5 linked regions of the Mus musculus genome follow. The protein of the gene in region 1 binds, or shares a complex with, the protein of each later gene. Links are inferred from orthologs where the notes say so. Each region holds a gene or a part of one and is shown in the gene's direction. Other genes may lie near its edges. The genes, in order: Kras, Mapkap1, Plaat3, Rgl1 and Rgl2.

Region 1 (4,111 bases):
AGACATTTAAACAAGGCTTAAAGCCTATGATATAGGAAGCTCTGGGCATTGGTAGTTAGGAGACAGTTTTTGAGGACAGTCTCAGAGGAAAAGGCCAACCTCCCCATTCTCGGAGCAGCCAGGAGTCAAGGTGAAACACGAAGGTAAGGTAAGGTAGCAAGTGGTCAAAGGCAGCATAGAATTTTAGAATTTTGCCTTTATGTTCTTGAACTGTGAGCCACGCGGGAGCTCAAGGCAGACTGAGATACTGAGTTAGTATCTTTCCTTCAGCTTAACAGTGTGAATGTGGCCGCCATTTCTTCCTTTCCGTAAATTTCTTCCTTCATCTGTAAAATAGTCGAGATGATGTTTAACTCGCGGGGGCGTTGTGATAATTAAATACGCTATGTGCAAAAACATTTAGCAGTTAACTTGACACAGAGTAGGCACGTTCTTTCTTTCCCTGTCTTCCTCCTGTTTCCCGGGCCTCCCACCTGGTGCTGGGAGGGAGAGGTAGGGTGCAAGAAGAGTGACATCACTTCAGAGAGCTAGTGTAACAGTTTCACGCGTGGCTGGTGATGGGGCTGTGAGGACAGACGGCGGTCGGTGGGTGGGTGGATGGGCAGTCTTTTGGGCGGGGGCCCTGGCTCTCCAGGCCTCAACTGATGGCATTTTTTAGAAGGGGCATCAGTGCGGTCTAGAGGAACGCACGCTTATTTGCCTCCCTGTTTAACTCTGCGGTGGTAACTGATGAATGAATGTCTTCTACCTGGCGTCCTGAGAAGTCTCCTCGGATCTGTCCTGTGGAGCGAGGGCACTTCCTACAAAGCGGCTCTCCATGTGGTATCCGGGCAGAAGGCCAGCCTGGTCTACACAGAGAGACCCTGTCTCAAAACAAAAAGAGGAGGTCCGGGTTGGGAGCCTGCAGGCTTCGGACAGTCCGGCCAAGGGACCGCGAGGCCAGCGGCTGGGGTCCGCCCCCGGCGGCGCCGCGCGCGCCCGGAGGAGCAGCAGCGGGGCGGGCGGCCGCGTGCGAACGAGCGGCGAGGCGGGGCTATCGGGAGCGCCAGCCCCGGGTCGGGGTCCGCGTTGGCCGACGCCCTCTCGGCACCACCCTCGCGCGCCCCCGCCCGGGCCCGTCCTGGCCGCCGCTTCCCGCCCTCGCTCTCCTGGGCTCCCAGCGCTGCGGCCGCTCCCTCCCTCCCTCCTTCCCTCCCTCCCGCGCGCGCGGCCGAGGCAGCGCGGAGCACCGAGCGCATCGATCGGCCTGCTCTGCGGCCGCCCGCCCGCCTGCCGGGCCCATCGCGCACTCCGGGCTCGATTCGGCAGGCGGCGGCCGCGGCGGCTGAGGCGGCAGCGCTGTGGCGGCGGCTGAGACGGCAGGGGAAGGCGGCGGCGGCTCGGCCCGGAGTCCCGCTCCCGCGCCATTTCGGACCCGGAGCGAGCGCGGCGCGGGCCTGAAGGCGGCGGCGGGAGCCTGAGGCGCGGCGGCTCCGCGGCGCGGAGAGAGGTAGGGCGCGGGCGGCGCTCCTGGGCCGCTGCCCGGTGCGGAGCTCGGCGCGGCCGGGCGGGGCCGCGGCGCTGAATGAAGCCGGCTCGGGGCGGCGGGCGCGGGGCGCCGAGGTCGGGCGGCCGCCGTTTCCCGGACGGGGCGGCTTTCCTTCCTCCTCCCGGCCGCGGCGGGCCCTCCGCGCTCGCCCGGCCTCCGCGCCCGGCCTCTGCTGCACCCGGCATCCGCGCCTGGCGCCCCGCGCCCGGCTCAACTTGTCGGGCGCGCGGGCTGTGCGGGGACGCCGCTTCCCCTGGCCGGGCTGCGGGGCCCCGGGGGAGGTCGCGGCGGGAGGTGCTCGGACCCGGTGGCCGGAGGGCGTCGTGGTTCTCGGAGGGGAAAGGCGTCCGCCGCGGAGTTCGCGACCGCTCCCCTCCCCCACGCCTGTAAGGGCTGTGACATTGCCGCGGCCACAAAGGAGGAGGTGGAGGTAGGGATGGTGCTGGCAGAACAGGTGGCCCACGCCCTGCGCGGAAAGCCCGCGAGCGACCCGCACGGAAGCAGAAAAGTTAATGCGGCAAGTCTGAGTGGCTTTGTGTCGTGAAAACACAGGGGGAACGAAGGGCGAGAGCCGAGGCAGGGGACTCTCCCCGAGTGGAGCGCAGGCAGCTCGGCTCACAGCGTCAAGTTTGAATCGCCTGCTGCCCTCTCCCCTCAGTCCTGCGGTTTGTCCCTTGCCCCTTCCAGACTCCAGAGTTGATTGTAGCATTCGGGCCGACCTCTGAAATCCCCCTAGGCCCATGTAGTAGCTCAAGTCCTGAGCCAGCCCCGTTAAAGCAAGGTGATCATCAAGGCAAGGACTTAAAAGCAGAATGGCATGCTGTGTTTGTCGTAGAGGAATCATCTGAGAGGAAATGTTGAACAAGTCTGCTCATAATAATCACTTCGAAATTGCCACCAAATGACCAGTGTCACTCTTCCACCGAGGGCCTGATTGCTGACCCCTCATGTGATAGACAATAGACATCAGATACGCTAGGTATCCATATATTTAATTTGAAACTGTAGCTATTCACAAGCATCCTTGGTTTTAAGAGATGGCGGATAGTAATTTAATTTTTCCACTTTGGTTGGAATTGAGCCCCTTTATTACCTTTTGTAACTGGGGGTGGGGGTGGGTGGGTGGGGGAACCTTTCAGGCTTAAGGTTTTTCTTGAGTAAGACTTCTTTTTTTTCTAGTGGACTTAATTAAATATTACTAAGTTTTAAAAACCCGACAATAAATTTTATTCAGCAAAAGCTACGGTGTAAATGATTCAATATCTGTCCACAGTATACCCTAAATTAGCCAACATTTTAGTCTGTGGGACCCCTTTGCACCTATAAACAAATTATTGAGGGTCTCAGAAATCCTTGAAGGGGGGGAACATGCCAATATTTACTATATTAGAAGTAACACATTTTTTCAGTTTATTTAGAACTAGGAATAAAGTGCCTGTTGGTAACATGAATTCATTTTTTAATGAAAAAATAATAAATTTTCTAGAACAAAGAATTAGAGTAGCTTTGTTTTACACATTAACAATCTGTTTAATTGTGCTTCATAGGACATAACAGTATTCTTTCATATCTACATCTCATATCTGCATCTGCATTCTCTTTGTTGTGATTACAGGGCCTAGAGAACCAACTGTCCTTGTAATAGTAAGAAGGCTAAAAAACAATTGCTGTAAAAACGGTTCTAACCTCCTAATCCTGTTCCCTACCACACAAAGTTTTAGGGACCCAAAATTGCTCCTGTACGCTAGCCACACTGTTTGCGGGAGGGAGAGGCAAAGGTCGCATTTCCATGTGATTTCTTTTCATCTATCCCATTTGCCATGGTCTACATTTGTTACAAAACTTGAAGGCAAACAGGTAAGTTAGGTTAGTAGTGGCTCACAGGATGGCCCCAGACAAGCAGCCAGAAAGGATAGGTGGGGCAAAGTAGGGCAGGAGTTGGATGAAGGTCTGATAACAATGGTTTTCTGCCCTTGTGGTCCTGTTACTGAGGGCTTCAGGCACAGGGTAAGGAAGACAGTGTGTTGGAAAAACAAACTGCATTTTCCCCTCTTGGTGCCTGTGTGAACAGTTCTTGGTGGTCAATAAGTAGACTGTATTTTGTGTTTGTTTACACTGTATATACTTACATTGACCTGGAACTATCTATTCTATAACAAAATTGTGACTTTAGTGCAGTTCTTTTGTATCCATTTGTCTCTTTATCTGCAATAATATATGTTCTACAAGGGAAAGGAGATAAAGTGTATATATTAATTTTATTTCAAAAATGTTTGGAAAAGCAGACTAGGAAACAACAGTGTTGTATTCAGGGCTGTTAACTGTATACAGTGCCAGCACTTAGTGCACCTGTTGGGAGTGCAGTGTATTATAAGCAAGGCAGAAGTCACAGAGGTTACTGAGAAACTCTTTTATGTTCTTTACATTTTTTTTCTTGCCAAAAATAGTCTTTATCTCTGAATTTCATTCAATTTTATTTCCTTGTACAGAGGTACTGTTTTTAGTACTCAAAGGATTATATGTTAAAATTGATCTGATCCTATACCAAATATTTAAACCCATTTCCCACAGATAGTTTATAGA
Region 2 (2,817 bases), on another chromosome or scaffold:
ACCAAGTCCACGCCGGCCCAAAGCACCCTTGCCAACCTACATCCTGATTTATGACTCTCAGCTGGTAAGTTGGCAAGGCTGCGGCCGGGTGAGGCGGGCCTTCTGTATCCGCATGCCTGCCTGTACCTCCTACTGTTGAAAGTTTGGAGGGACATTGTCAGAGCCTCAGTCTGCAACTGCCCTGCTCAAGAGCCTCTAGCTGCCTTCTCCAAACCAAGGCTGGGCTTTCTGGTGAGGCTTCGGAACGTGTGAGAGTGAAAGAATTGTGTTTTCACAAAAAGCCAGGCAGGAAAGCCATGTCTGAAGGTCCACAGGTGGCCCAGAAAAGACACACACAGCCAACTGAAGTCAACCCTGACCCCAGTGGCCTCAGCCCTTGCAGTCCTCTGAGCCTCACTTTGCGTACTTGGTCCTGGCTGGTAGGTGCAGCGGACAATAGAGGACACATGCCAGGCTATCAGGAGGCAGAGGATGTGCTGCCTCGCGTGTTTTCCTCGGGAGCTGGCTGGACATGTCTGAGAGTAGGCAGCCCTCTGAGACACCGAAGAGCACAAGCCTAGGGGTGGGTCAGCAGCCCCACTGCTCAGCAACTGAGAAGCCTGCACTGGGCCTCCATCTATATGAACCGAGGGCTTCCTCCTGGCCTGCCAGACTGCACCGTGTCAGAGCAGCTGCTCCCAGGATCCCTTGCCCAAACATGGCCTCCCTTCCACCCCAAGCTCTGCCCTGGGGGAACAGCTGGTGCTGCCAAGTGATGCCGTGTCCTCTTGCTTTCTAGGTTAACTACATCCTGGAATCACGAGCGAGCACTGCCCGAGCTGATTATCTTGCTCAAAAACAAAGAAAACTGAACAGGCGAACAAGCTTCAGCTTCCAGAAGGAGAAGAAATCAGGGCAGCAGTGACACTGGCCTCTAGTCTGGTGCCACAGCCCAGGTGGCCTGCAAGGCCAGGTGGACCGGAGTCCACCAGCATCCTGTAGTGCCGAGACCCGCAGGCACAGGCTGCTGGGCTCTAGGGGAAGGTTTAGAGGTAGGGGTGCGATTGGACTGAAACTTGGCAATGGTTCTAAGTAGCAATGCCCAGGAGCCAGGCCACCTCCTGGAGGGGCTGAGTGCTGCTCAGCCGTGTGTCCTGCCTGGCAGTCCCAGCAAGACTGTACATAGCCATGCCAGACATCTCCTTGCAACTTGATCAAATTTCTTAAAGCAAACAAAGAACAAAAGTGTACATTTCTCTTTCTTTCCTTTTAATAAACAGGTATACTCTTTATCGTGGTTGGTATGATGGACCATTCTTTGGGGTAGAGGATTGACTATATTATCTTCCTTAAAATCTGTTCCCATATTGAACAGGCAGATTACAAAAGCTGTGGTTGGAGCTCTCAGAAGCAATGTTTAGGGCTTAGCCAGTAGTTTAACTGTGCCATTTGTTTAAATAAGTGATTTGCTTTGAGAATAGCATCTTACTAAAGTTAGGAATTGAGGACCTAGCATGTGCCCAGCGTAAGTGCATGCGTGGGTGCGTGCGTGCGTGCGTGCGTGCGTGCGTAGCCTTCTAAGGCCTTCTCAACATGTCAGCGCCTGTGATCTGAGAGACAGGTGCTGGTAATATAGTGTGACAGTGTCTCCAAGTGGTGCTGAGTTCCCAGCCAGGGTCTTCTCTCATCTCCTCATAGCAAGTATGATATGGTCAGCCTGCCTCTCTGACCTATCTCCAATCCTCTTACCGGTGCCTGCTGTGGAGCCAGACGCTGCTGCTGCTGCTGCTGCTGCTGCTGCTGCTGCTGCTGCTGCTGCTGCTGCTGCTGCTGCTGCTGCTGCTGCTGCTATACTGAATCAGGGAGAAGGAGAGCAAGCCCTGGGCAGAAAAGGCAAGGTACCCAGCACCCTGACACCACACCACACCTCTGTCTACACCAGATGCCTCTGCAGACCTCACCATGGTCCCGCCTGTGGCAGCATCCTTGGGCCAGGGCCACAGCCGATATCTTATACGACCTGTGTTTAGGACATTTTTTAAATCATTGTGTCTAAGCATCTCAGAGTCAAGTGTGCTTCTTTGCAAAGGGGTCGACTGAATGAATGCCTCTCTCATTCTGATCTGTTCAGCCAACAGGAGCACCCTTTTCTAATGTCTTCCATTCCTATCTCCCCCCAAAAGAAATATTATTTGTAGCTTGCTCTGTATTTGAATTTTTAGCAATTTTATATTTAGATATCTTTGAAATTGTAAATGACTAATTTGGTCATTAAATCTTGTCACATATTCAATATTAAAATACTAAAATAAAAGTCATAAATACCCTCTTTTGTATATTGCTTTGAATTCCTAAATCCTTGCACACACGGTGCTGAGATGGTGATGTCACAGCAAGTCCCCGGGGGTGACACCCTGGCATTTGATAATGCAGCACACACTGCTGATATGGTGATGTCATAGCAGATCCCTGGGGTGACACCCTGGCACTTGAAAATGCCCAGCCATGCTAAGCTGTACACAAGCCACGTCTAGTCGTCCTTTACTCCCGGGACGCTGGGATCTCTGGCTCTGCTCTCCACAGTTGCTGGCACATGGCTCTCAGCTGGTTAGGTTCTCAGGGGTTTGAGTTGCCTGGTGTCACAGTCCACGGCTGTGATAGGTGGGCGGCGGTGGCCCTCACTCCTTGGGCAGTGGTGAGCCAGCCTGCTGGTTGGTTGCATTTGCCATGAAGACGCTTCCCTAGGACATCTGATCTCAGGGGTGTCAGTACTGTCTAGCCTAATCTCTGAGCCTCAGCCAGCACCTCTGGCTACAGTGCTGTCAAGCCCCATGGTGT
Region 3 (3,513 bases), on another chromosome or scaffold:
TTTATAGTATCATGCATTTTACAGGTTTCTTTTTTAGATTATTTCATGTGCACTAGTGTTTTGCATGTATGTATGTGTACTATCTTCATGTATTACCTGTGGAGATTAGGAGAGGGCATTGGATGCCCTGGAACTGGAGTTATAGATGGTTGTAAGCAACCATTGGGTGCTGGGAACCTAACCTGGATCCTCTGCAAGAGCAGTAAGCACTCTTAACTGCTGAGGTGTCTCTTCAGCCCTGTTTGCAGTTTTTAGTCATAGTACGTGCAGGGGTTGGGGTGAAGTTGGGGATGGGGTGGTAGCATGTTCCCTGAAGGCCTGCATCTCAGCTTTGTGAGGTGAGCCAGCATCAGACCTGCAGAGCCTGCATCCACATGGATCTGCCTACTGGAGCTGATTTGGGGGAACTTTTGGCTGCATCTTCTTAACCCAGCCTGTCCTGGTGTCAAGGATTCACACCATCACTAATAGTTCTGTTCTTGGTTTTGCAGCCAGAACCCAAGCCTGGAGACCTGATTGAGATTTTCCGCCCTATGTACAGACACTGGGCCATCTATGTTGGTGATGGATACGTGATCCACCTGGCTCCTCCAAGTAAGAACACCAGGGCATTCACTGTTCTGGGTCCAGGGACTGGGAAAGGATGTGGGGAGCTGTGGGCAACCGGGTGCCCCTATGCTGTCCATGCTTCTCCGTCAACCACTTGTTTCTAAGTTTATGTGCAGGCAGTCTGATGTGTCATGATGCTTTCTGGCTTTGTTCCTTGGAGCCCAGTGTGTAAGCCCCTCAAGGTGTGTGAGTGTCCAGACCCTGCCCCTAAGGACCTTCAACTTCCAGGCTCCACACAGAGAACAATCTAATGGCTGGATCCAGCCCCTCTAGATGCAGATGGCCAAGCTCTGCCTCACAGAGTAAAAAGCCCGAGCTCAGAACTTGAAATCCTACTAATCCCCACCCTGGAAATCATAAAGCCTGCCTTTCCCTCAGTTTCCTGATGCTTCTGGTCTGAGATTTTCCCTCTCAACAAAGCTCTTGTGTGAGGTAGGTTTGTTGTGCAGTGTGACTTTGTAGTATTCCTTGGCTCCCAACTGCCAGGGTATCATTCCCAGCAGAGGTGTAACACTTGCTGGGGAACCTTTCCCCACTGGAACAGAGCTGTTCCATTGTCTTGCTCCCCACTGGGGTCTGAGCCGTACTGGGATCCTATTCCTCATCTCCAGTCAACACACAACAGACTCACCTCCCAGCTCACCAATCACTCAGCACCCCATCCACCAGCAACAACTAGGTGAGTCTCCTCTTTGGCCACTGCAAATGTTTTCCTGAGTCCAAGGAAGTGATCAGCACCTCGTTGGTACTCTTGGAGGTGAAGGTACCCCAGAAACAGAGGTCTTCAAGGCTACGGCTGGCCCTCTTCTCCTGACCCCATTCCTCCATCCTTGGACATTTCCAGCCACAGTCCACCCTAATCAAATCTTCCTGTCACTCACTTTGAGCCCATTAGCAGCCCTTAGTCCTCCTAGAACTCATTCCTCAACTACAGGACTCGCTTCTACCTCCCCCTACCTGGCCTAACCTGGTCCCAGTTCTCCCTTTCCAGGAGGTTGGTTGCTGGGGTGGATGGCATGATCAGGGTATGTGTCCCTTTCTTACTAAGTGATCTCTCTCAGATAGAAGAGATGTTGGGGTTTCACATCACAAATTCCCCTGCTTTCATTAAAAAGTTCCAATGTATCACCTAGTCTTAGTCTCACCTTCCACGACATTTATACAGTTCTCACCAGCAGCCTTCTCTGTGCAGAGTGCAGAGGAGTCTGAGTCCAAGCTGGGGCACTTGCAGATGAAATCTACCAAACTAATAAATGTCTGCTCTTGAATCTCCTGTTTCTTCTCTCTTCTCTTGCATCATTCTCTCTCCCTGGAAGTTCTACCCTCCACTTCCTGCCCAGTGATTGGCTGTCAGATCTTTGTTACAACCAATCAGCAGTGAGATGATCTCTAATACAATTCTAGATTGCCCCTAGGCATAGAGGACTGTCTGACCTTCAAGTGTCTGAGCAAGTGTGGAAGGACAAATATTTAGAAAATATAAGGCTGATGATGAGACATAGGAAGGCAAGGCCATAACACTTGCATTGGGGAGATCTTCCCCTTGCCAGAGCAGAGCTGTAACTCTTTCATTGGGGAAGCCTTCTCCCTCAGAATTGTAACACTATATTTATGTTCTTTCTCTCTCTCTCTCTCTCTCTCTCTCTCTCTCTCTCTCTCTCTCTCTCTCTCTCTCTCTCTTGTTCCTTCTTCCCTCCCCCCCCCTCTTTTTTAGTTAACCAGGGTCCTCTGTGTGACCCTAGGTTTGGAACTATCTGATGGAACCTGGTGGGCTCGTCCGTAGGTACACAACAGAAGACAATGACTGTCTTGCCCCTAGAATCCATCCCTAGACAATAATTCAGGAGGAAGGGGTAGAGACTTGTGAGTCCCTCCCCAATCCAAGAGTGACTGTGATAGACCAAGTCTTATGTCTTAAACATAGCTGTTTTCAATTTTCATATTTTTAAGACAGGGTCTCATGACTGGGTGGGTGTAGTGGTGCACTCCTCTTATACCAGTACTCAGGAGGGGAGGAAGAGACAAGCAGATCTCTGTGCTGTGAGTTCAAATCCTAGTCTACCTAGAGTGTCCTAGGACAGGCAGGGCTACATAGATCTTGTCTCAAAACAAAACAGAACAAAAGACTAGGTCTCACTATATCATTCCAGATGGTCTAGAACTCATGTTAATCCCACTGAATGAGAGTAAAGACCATTACCCAAAATATTTTGGTCAAATAAAGCAAGCTTTATTTTCTGTCAGATAGGGCTATCTCCATAAAGTGGGGAGAAAGTATCAAAATATCATGGAGCACAAGAGAAGGTGGGGTTTATACAGCCACAAACTGCAGTGCTGGGCAGGTTTCAAGGGTTGGGAGATTCTGAGGCATTTTGGTTACATAGGAACTTGGTTGACCATTTCAACATTATGCGGCAGAACATCCTATAATATCATGGTAGAGGTCAGAGTAGAGGGTGTGGAACATGTTCAACTCCAGAAAATGGGTCAAAACCTGGTCAAATCCAGGTTTTGCAGAACACAGAAATGAACTTAATTTTGACCTTGTAATAAGATGGCTTTTAATCTTATAATGGAGTCAGGCTGGTCCATCACTTATGTATATACCAGGGTGGCCTTGAACTCACAAAGATTTGTCTGCCTGTCTCATGAATTCTGGGGTCAAGGGACTAAACCACTATGCTGGGTTCAAACATTTTATGTTTTCGAAGAGTTCAGCCTATTCTAAAACTTCAAAGAAGAGGGGTCACATAGCCTCTGTTCTTTTCCTTCCGGCTATTGTTTGTTGCTGTGTCAATGTTATATTTAAAGACTGGTCCTGTCCTGGTTACTGGGGTGCTGTTGCTGCTCCTGGCAGGGGACCAATCTGGTGATGCTCCCTGGGTTCCTGGGTCTACCTCTTGG
Region 4 (3,513 bases), on another chromosome or scaffold:
CTCTTGGTACTTGACCTCCAAAAGCTGAGTTAACTCTCAGTGGACTTTTGTGGCAGCCGGTCCTGATTACAGCTCAGCTCTTTGGTAGGAAAGTGCAGCTGGGAGTTAAGTCACTGTAACAGGCTGCTGGGCTTCTGCACACTGGATACTAACTTCTACTCTAGCTTTTAATTGTATGAACAATTTGTGTAGGTGTAGTAGATAATTATAATTTTCCTTTTTTTGATTCTGATTCTGTGGAACAAATCCAAAGAATACTTGTGCACATTAGACAGATGCTGTACCACCGCTATATCCCAAACCCTTTCAAAAAACATTTTTGTGGTTCTGGAGGGATCACTCAGCCTGTGAGATGCTTGCTGCACAAGATCTACAACCTGGGTTAGATTCCCCAGCACCCGTGGATTAAAAAAAAAATTGGATGTGGTGACATGTGTTTATCATCCTACTGCTGCGGAAGCAGAGCCTAGAGTATTTCTAGAGCTTGCTGACCAGCCATCCTAGCCTATCGGTGACCCCCCAGGTCCCAATGAGAGACCCATCTCAACAGACAAGGCAGATGGCTCCTAAGGAGTGGCATAGGTTACCCTCTGACCTACACACATACACTCTTTTGGGTGGGTGAAAGAGTTTTGTCACTGTAGCTAAGACAGTGTGGTTTCTTTGCCTTGGGATGCACAGGAATTTATTGATTCTCCCTGATACCTTCTCCAGCCAGCATCAGTGAACATCCCTTTCGATGGAGTTGTTTTATTAGGGAGGCAGACTAGCCTGGTGTGGAACTAACACTGAAGTGTCTTTGAAGTCTTCTGACGATGAAGCGTGGAGTAATGGCCCTGCTGCAGTTTACCCCTTTGTCATTGCTCTGACTCTGCTCTAGAGAGAGGAGCTCCCCGTAACTTACAGGCAACACCCTTAGTTACTCAGGAGGTGTCTGTAGCGCACCAAGCACCCAGAGCGTATCTGGCTGTTCTTGTGCTTTGACACCCGGGGAACCTTGTGACTCCATCACCCAGTGGTTCCTGACACGCCGTCTCATTATAATTTGAGAAACAAAGGGATAACTTTATGAGGAAAGCTTTGGTCCTTGTGCCAAAACCCTAGTGATGTTTTTAAAATTAAACAGGCATTTCCCCATTAACCTGGAGACTTCTTACTCCAGATGAGTTCTAGCCTAGTGGTAGCCAGTTATGTCCTAAGTTATCAATACGGCTACTTTTAGGCTACTTTTCTGTTTTATTACCTTTGTTCATCTATTTGTGTGGGAGTCTGAAGGGCTAGCTGAAGCATGCTACAGTGCAGGCTGTCAGAGGACAACTTGTTAACATTGTGTGGGACCCAGGCATCACTGAGCTCAGTTGTCAGGCGTGGTAGAAAGTTTCTTATTTACTGTGTCATCTTGATAGCCTGGTTTTCTGGTCTTTAATTTGAGCAAATGCACAGTTAGTGGCTTGTGTTTGGATTGTTTGGAACTCAGTAAATCCTCTTCTCATCTTTCGTCTGCCTTGGTTGGATTTTCTAACAACAAAACATTATTAGTCTCCCCAACCCTCTTCAGCTACCAGCTGTGGGGTCCAGGGCCTGTCTCGAGTCCCGTAAGCATTGTGTTCACTGTGTCTCCATCTCTCCTTCCCAGTGCCATTGCTTCCATCCTGAGGGCCTGGCTTGACCAGTGTGCGGAAGACTTCCGGGAGCCCCCTCACTTCCCTTGCCTTCAGAAGCTGCTGGAGTACCTCAAACAGATGATGCCTGGCTCTGACCCAGAGAGGAGAGCACAGAACCTTCTTGAACAGTTTCAAAAGCAGGACGTGGATTCCGACAGTGAGTACCTGTTTGGTCCCAGGGAAACCTCTACTGGGCTCTGCAATGTGGGGGCTCCCCATTCATTGACTCAATAAGAAACCCTGGTACCCTCAGAAAATTGGGATAGGTATAAAATTATTGAACTGTGAACCTCAGAACCCTAAGGTTTCAGAGTGAAAAGAGGGATTTTCAAGGCTGGATTTATGATTTTAAAGATTAAATTGTAAAACCAGCTCAGAGAAGCTAAGTAATTGCCCAGGGTGCCTACTGTTACCAGGAACAGGGTTTTCTTGATTTGTTTTTGTTTTTTTTAAACTTTCTCTTATCAACATGAATGGGCTTCTTCTCTGCCTAATGTGTTCTATCAGATATAAACGGGCGACAACCAACCAACCCTGTGTGGCTGGCAAGGGTTCAAGTCCACGTCCCTCTCACAAAAGCTTGGAAGAGGTGTTCCTCCTTTTCCCTAAAAAGCATTAGTGTCATGTCCCCTGGCAGCCCCGATTGCTGACATCGACTGTCTCTAGTGACCGAATCGAAGGAAGTCTCTGAGGCTGTTTTTTCCTATTGGAGGCTGACCTCGAGCTTCCAGGGACAAATGCAGAGCCACCACTGCTGGCCATAGAGTGTGCTGGCTGCCAGGCTCTGCAGAAATTAGTCAAGAGGTTCCATCGCGCTCCAGCGTGATGATATAGCCTTTCACCGAGGCACTGGGTAACAGTTGCCATGGCAGCTGACCCACTTGGAACTTCTGGTAGGCATTTCCTTGAAGTAATGTCCGGTTTCCTCAGTGAGGGAAAGGAAATGGCTCCTAACGCAGATAAGGGATGCTACCCCAAAGCCAAAGCAAATACAGTGACTTTAAATTCTACCCGGTACCTGTTGAGTGGTTTGTATGGACTGGGGACCAGAGAAGGGGAATGCACTTGCATCATTTGGCTCAGATTGCCAAAGGCTTTGTATCTCAGATGACTTCATCTGCCGGGAATGCTTGAATACCCTGGAAGCTCAGCTCCAGCTGCCAGACCTCAGCTCCCTTCAGGGCCTCCTCCCGCCTGCCCGCCCAGCTTTGTGCTCTGGTAGAAAACGCTGCTGCTGCTGCTGCTGTTGCACTGGAGCCCAGCTCGCCCCACTGGGGCTGCCTCTGGCCCCATGCCTAATTGGGGAACCAGTGGGACCAGTCATTGGTCCTCTCCGGCTCAGGGAATGGAGGGCAGAGCTCTTTTGGCAGGCAGAGGCAGGGACTAGGGAGGTGGCCTGACCTCACAAAAACTTTTAGGCAATACCCAAGAATGAATCTTTTCCTAAGTGTGGGCAGTTGTCATCAAGAATGCTCCAGGCCCTGTTTATGAAGTATAGGCTCCATTCCTGAAGAGGAATGTTGGGAGCTTAGTTAGTTCCCTTGTGCCTCTCACCCCCCAGCCCCCATGTCATACTCTGGAAAGCAGTGAGCTTTCCTGTGTGTTTGCAAAAGTAAAACTGTGCATAGAGATTTGTACATAACCCCTGGAGACTCAGGCAGGAGCAGTGAAAGCATAGACCAGGTCCCAGAGAGAAAGGATCACAGGTTTCACACGTAGTGACATTCTAGGTGCATGCCAGATTTACAAGGAATGAATGAATGAATGAATGAATGAATGTGTGAGTGAGTGATGTTAGTCCTTACCCTGTACTCTCCTTGGCAGAAGCTGGACAGCTTCTGCATTGTTT
Region 5 (4,038 bases), on another chromosome or scaffold:
AGCGCCACACTCATTTGATGCCCACAGTCGGGAGGCAGAGGCAGTGGATCTCTGACATTTCCATGCCAGCCTGATCTACAAATAGGGAGTTTCAGGTCAGTCGGGGTTACTTGGCGGGGCTTTGTTGAGAGAACTAAATATAAGAACACACATGCGTAGAGTCCCAGGGTTGAGAAGAACCAGTGTATGCGCCAGAGAGGCGGGTTCATAACCTGTGGCTCACAACCCCCTTTAAGTCCATCGGAAATACCAGACATTAGGATTCACAACAGTAGTAAAGGCAGTTACGAAGTAGCAAAGAAAATAATTTTACAACTTGAACTGCGTTAATGTTAAGAAGGTTGAGAACCACTGGCCAGGGGATTAGGACGAAAGGTCTTCATAGCATCTTAAGATTCTAGAGACCTCAGGGACAGCCCACAGCAGTAGTCTAGAGACGGAAAGGTCCATGTGTCTCCCTCGCGGACTAAAGCCTACCTCTCCAGCTCTCCATTCCTACCACAGCTTTTCTTTTGCCTGGTCCACCTTTACCATCTCCGGGCCTGGTGGGTCTCGGCCCTTTACGAATGTCCCCGTGTGGTTCGTCCTCTCCTGTTCGCCGGTCCTCGTGAGCTAATAAAGTCTTTCCGAGTTTCCATGCGGGCCTCTCATTCTCCCGTTTCCAAGCACAGCCAACCTCGGTCACCTCCCGGTCCTCGTCTCGCACCCGGGAGACGACATAGCCACCGTGGGAACCGCGCGCGCTCGGGCGCACGGTGAGAGCCGGACGCCCGGAGCGACGGACCCGAGTGGAACCGGAAGCGCCGCACTAGCCGGCTTCCGCCCCCTCCCCGCGAGTGGGCGGGCATAAGGGCGGCACAGAAAACCCGGCGCGGATTCGCTCCGTTGCACTCGTGCCGGGGCGGCAGTGTCATTCTCGAGCTGCAGTAACGGGGTCGCGCCACTGCTAGGGCACTTTCCTCGGCAGTTGCAGCGCCGCTCTGGTTAGAAAAAGTGACTTAAAATTCCGTGTTTGCCTTCCTGTGGAGGCTTGAGACAGGACCCTGGTCTCCAGCGTGTCTGCTGCGAGACGCGGGCTTCAGAGCCACCGAGTGGGGCTGCAAGGGACAGCGGAGTAGTGCACCTGCAGCCTGCGTCCCAGCCCCTGGCGTCCAGCACTCCCCTAGTCGCTCTCCCTGGCTCCTGTCCTCACTTCCTTCCCTTTTTGGCTCCTGCTGTCGGGCGGACGCGGGGAGGGGGGAAGCGGAAAGGGCGGGAGGGCCCGGGAGCCCGGCGGGGTGCAGGAGGGGGGCATCGCGGAAAAGCCGGGGAGGGGACTCGGTAGAGGGCCAGAGACCGACAAGAACAGAGGCCCGGGACCCGCGCGCAGCCCTCGCCCTTCCCGAGCAGGTCAGAGCCGGAGCACCGGGTGACCCTGCCCATTCCGCACTAGTTAGCCCCCAAGTCCCAAGCAAGCACCGAGGGCTTGGGTTTCCCCACTCCCGTATCTCCCTCCCCCAGCCTTCCTCAGGGACTCCCACCTAGGTCCCTTCTTGTCCGTCTCCCCCACGCCCGTCTGACTCCACCCAATCCCACCCGTCTCTCCCCAGGCGCCCCCATGGCCCGACCCCGCTGATTGCTTCTCTCGGCCATGCTCCCGCGGCCCCTGCGGCTGCTTTTGGACACGACCCCCCCCGGGGGAGTCGTGCTGAGCAGCTTCCGGAGCCGGGACCCCGAAGAGGGTGGGGACCCAGGTGGCCGGGCCGTGGGCGGGGGGCAGGAGGAAGAGGATGAGGAAGAAGAAGAGGTGAGACGCGGGTGGCGGGAGGCAGGGCATTAAATATTTCTGAGACTCTCCTCCTTTCGGTGTCTCTGGGTCCCTCGGTCTCTTCCTCCCCGCCTCACTCGCATCCCGCCCGCCACACTCTCTCTGGATATCTGTCCCCTGGCTGCGGGTCCTGGTGTCTATGAAGTTCGCCCTGTCTGTCTGCTCGGAACCTGCCCGTAGGAACCTGCCGGAACCAGAATGGCTGGCTGGCAGACGGGCTGACTGTGCCTGCGGGGCTCAGGCCCTCTTTGCCCATACCTGCTTAGACGGGTGCCACTGGGCAGTTGTATCTTGGTCCCTGTCTCCCTCCTCGTTTTTTGTTTGGCTGGGAGGGGTTTGTTTCCACAGTAACCAGCTCCTCAGACTCTAGGATTGGGGAGGGAACCCTCAGATTTCGCCGCCTCTTCCCCCACCCCCTGGTGCTCAATAGAGGGCAGCAAGCCAAGAGGTTCCGGCACCTGGAGAGATGATCCCGGGATAGGTAGAGCGTGGTCATCTTCGTCCAAAGAGACTGATAGGATGTAGTCCGCAGCAAGATTTAGGGATTCAGGAGGGTCCAGAAGTTAGATTCGGAGCCCGAGGATCCAGACTCCTGGGCCCCGACATTGGTAAAGTTAGGGTGACTAGCAAGGCTGGTTTTTCGGGATCGGTCGGGGGAGGGGCTAGGGCCACATGACTCTGAGTCTACCGCCCCCCCCCCCCATCATCCTTACTTCCCCTTCTTGTAACTGGGATTGGAGCCGCCACCTTCAGGGGGTCCCCAGTGCTGAGATTAAGTGGAAGCTGTATTGGGGACCTGGGGAAAAGGAGTCTCTGCGGAAGGACTAAATTTGGGCTCCTCTGGTTCTGTCAGGGAGGGCGGGCCTTGTGAAGTTTCAGCTTCTCTCTGCTTCAGGTCTCTCTTCCTTTGGCTTTGTGCCTCTTCGGGCGCGCTCTGCTCCTGACTTTGCGCCCTGCTTTTCTGCGTTGGGCTCAGCTGTGGGACAAGGGGGGTTGGAGGTGGCCAGAAGAGGGGTTCCTGCATTCAGTTGAAACCCTCACTGCAACCTCTTCCATCCCACCGAGCTCTGAGGTGGCCGGGGGGGCTGTCTGAGCCCCAGGGTGGGGTAGACCTGGGGTCACCAGTACCCTCTACCCCTCGCACTCGCTGGTATTGTCCCCCGCCATCACAGGTGAGGGGTGCAGAGGGAGGAACAGGGCCTGGGGACAATGGCTGGGGACTGGAGGTGCTGTGGAACTCACTTCCTCTTCTTGCTCCTCCAGGCTTCTGTGTCAGTCTGGGACGAGGAGGAGGATGGTGCGACCTTTACTGTCACAAGCCGCCAGTACAGGCCTCTTGACCCCTTGGTGAGATCACGACTTTGAGGTCTTGCCTCTCGGTTTTTAATTTAATATTTATTTATTTATTTTCCGGAACATTAGGTTGAAGAAGTTCTGGTAGTGTGAAGGTAGTTCTGTGTTGTGTGATTTAAGCCATTTCTGAACCGGGGCAGAAATAAGCTAGATCTGGATTATCCCAGATGTCTAGCAGTCAGATTGAGGAGGCCCGTCGGTGAGACACCCTCCATGTTCTCCAGGCTCCCTTGCCTCCACCTCGCTCCTCCCGACGGCTCCGCGCTGGCACTCTGGAGGCCCTGGTCAGACACCTCTTGGATGCCAGGACAGCAGGGGCTGACATGATGTTCACTCCGGCCTTGCTGGCCACCCACCGGGCCTTCACCTCCACTCCTGCCCTGTTTGGGCTTGTGGCTGACAGGTCAGGGGCCAAGGGTTAGGAGGCTCCTGGATTCCCTTTGAGCACCCCCAGCACCAGCGGGGGCTGGAAAAGCCACAAGGTAGACCCTCTCCTCATCCCCAGGCTGGAAGCCCTTGAATCTCATCCTCCCGGTGAGCTAGAGAGGACCACAGGGTGAGTGGCCCTGTCTGAACCTCAGTCCCCTCAGGGTGCTGAGGCTAGACCTCTGACCCCTGGCTGATTCCCCTTCTCTCAGGGTAGCCATCTCTGTACTTTCAACTTGGCTGGCCTCTCACCCTGAGGATTTTGGCTCTGAGGTCAAGGGTCAACTTGACCGGCTTGAGAGCTTCTTGCTTCGGACAGGGTATGCAGCACGGGAGGGTGTTGTGGGGGGCAGTGCTGACCTCATCCGAAACCTCCGGGCCCGGGTGGACCCCCGGGCCCCCGACCTTCCTAAGCCCCTGGCCCTTCCTGGCGATTCCCCTGCTGACCCCAC

What was found.
Region 2: the proteins of Kras (region 1) and Mapkap1 are in contact, whole or in part, in a crystal structure (PDB 7LC1), measured with the Homo sapiens proteins. The link is inferred for Mus musculus from reciprocal best matches to the Homo sapiens genes KRAS and MAPKAP1. Residues at the interface, in NP_001356715.1 of Homo sapiens: Ile21, His27, Val29, Glu31, Asp33, Pro34, Ile36, Glu37, Asp38, Ser39, Tyr40, Arg41, Leu56, Glu62, Glu63, Tyr64, Ser65, Ala66, Met67, Asp69, Gln70; in NP_001006618.1 of Homo sapiens: Phe280, His287, Gly288, Phe289, Ser290, Leu291, Ile292, Gln293, Lys307, Lys310, Arg311, Arg312, Lys313, Gly314, Ser315, Phe363, Glu365, Ile369, Val374, Met377, Leu378, Ser380, His381, Tyr484, Glu487, Ser488.
Region 3: the proteins of Kras (region 1) and Plaat3 are in contact, whole or in part, in a crystal structure (PDB 7C41), measured with the Homo sapiens proteins. The link is inferred for Mus musculus from reciprocal best matches to the Homo sapiens genes KRAS and PLAAT3. Residues at the interface, in NP_001356715.1 of Homo sapiens: Ala11, Gly13, Lys16, Ser17, Tyr32, Asp33, Pro34, Thr35, Ile36, Thr58, Ala59, Gly60, Gln61, Asn85, Asn86, Lys88, Asp92, Tyr96, Lys117; in NP_001121675.1 of Homo sapiens: Leu65, Tyr66, Asp67, Val68, Ala69, Gly70, Ser71, Asp72, Lys73, Tyr74.
Region 4: the proteins of Kras (region 1) and Rgl1 are in contact, whole or in part, in a crystal structure (PDB 7SCX), measured with the Homo sapiens proteins. The link is inferred for Mus musculus from reciprocal best matches to the Homo sapiens genes KRAS and RGL1. Residues at the interface, in NP_001356715.1 of Homo sapiens: Ile24, Gln25, Glu31, Asp33, Pro34, Thr35, Ile36, Glu37, Asp38, Ser39, Tyr40, Arg41, Leu56, Tyr64, Met67; in NP_001284600.1 of Homo sapiens: Ile651, Arg653, Asn660, Gly661, Asn662, Met663, Tyr664, Lys665, Ser666, Ile667, Met668, Lys685, Asn687.
Region 5: the proteins of Kras (region 1) and Rgl2 are in contact, whole or in part, in a crystal structure (PDB 8B69), measured with the Homo sapiens proteins. The link is inferred for Mus musculus from reciprocal best matches to the Homo sapiens genes KRAS and RGL2. Residues at the interface, in NP_001356715.1 of Homo sapiens: Ile24, Gln25, His27, Val29, Glu31, Asp33, Pro34, Thr35, Ile36, Glu37, Asp38, Ser39, Tyr40, Arg41, Lys42, Tyr64; in NP_004752.1 of Homo sapiens: Ile651, Arg653, Glu660, Asp661, Gly662, Ser663, Val664, Tyr665, Lys666, Ser667, Ile668, Leu669, Lys685, Lys686, Asn688, Arg689.

The regions. Positions count from the first base shown.
Region 1 is NC_000072.6:145,247,427-145,251,537, reverse strand, and holds the start of Kras (GTPase KRas), read left to right. Parts: upstream 1-1,306; 5' UTR 1,307-1,489; intron 1,490-4,111. UniProt on the Homo sapiens protein: Ras proteins bind GDP/GTP and possess intrinsic GTPase activity. Plays an important role in the regulation of cell proliferation.
Region 2 is NC_000068.7:34,622,645-34,625,461, forward strand, and holds the end of Mapkap1 (target of rapamycin complex 2 subunit MAPKAP1), read left to right. Parts: intron 1-778; coding exon 779-904; 3' UTR 905-2,314; downstream 2,315-2,817. UniProt on the Homo sapiens protein: Component of the mechanistic target of rapamycin complex 2 (mTORC2), which transduces signals from growth factors to pathways involved in proliferation, cytoskeletal organization, lipogenesis and anabolic output.
Region 3 is NC_000085.6:7,574,446-7,577,958, forward strand, and holds part of Plaat3 (phospholipase A and acyltransferase 3), read left to right. Parts: intron 1-491; coding exon 492-594; intron 595-3,513. UniProt on the Homo sapiens protein: Exhibits both phospholipase A1/2 and acyltransferase activities. Shows phospholipase A1 (PLA1) and A2 (PLA2) activity, catalyzing the calcium-independent release of fatty acids from the sn-1 or sn-2 position of glycerophospholipids.
Region 4 is NC_000067.6:152,555,711-152,559,223, reverse strand, and holds part of Rgl1 (ral guanine nucleotide dissociation stimulator-like 1), read left to right. Parts: intron 1-1,636; coding exon 1,637-1,821; intron 1,822-3,513. UniProt on the Homo sapiens protein: Probable guanine nucleotide exchange factor.
Region 5 is NC_000083.6:33,928,656-33,932,693, forward strand, and holds the start of Rgl2 (ral guanine nucleotide dissociation stimulator-like 2), read left to right. Parts: upstream 1-1,238; 5' UTR 1,239-1,389; intron 1,390-1,589; 5' UTR 1,590-1,630; coding exon 1,631-1,786; intron 1,787-1,792; exon of another isoform or gene 1,793-2,288; intron 2,289-3,070; coding exon 3,071-3,154; intron 3,155-3,384; coding exon 3,385-3,563; intron 3,564-3,665; coding exon 3,666-3,716; intron 3,717-3,798; coding exon 3,799-4,038. UniProt on the Homo sapiens protein: Probable guanine nucleotide exchange factor. Putative effector of Ras and/or Rap. Associates with the GTP-bound form of Rap 1A and H-Ras in vitro.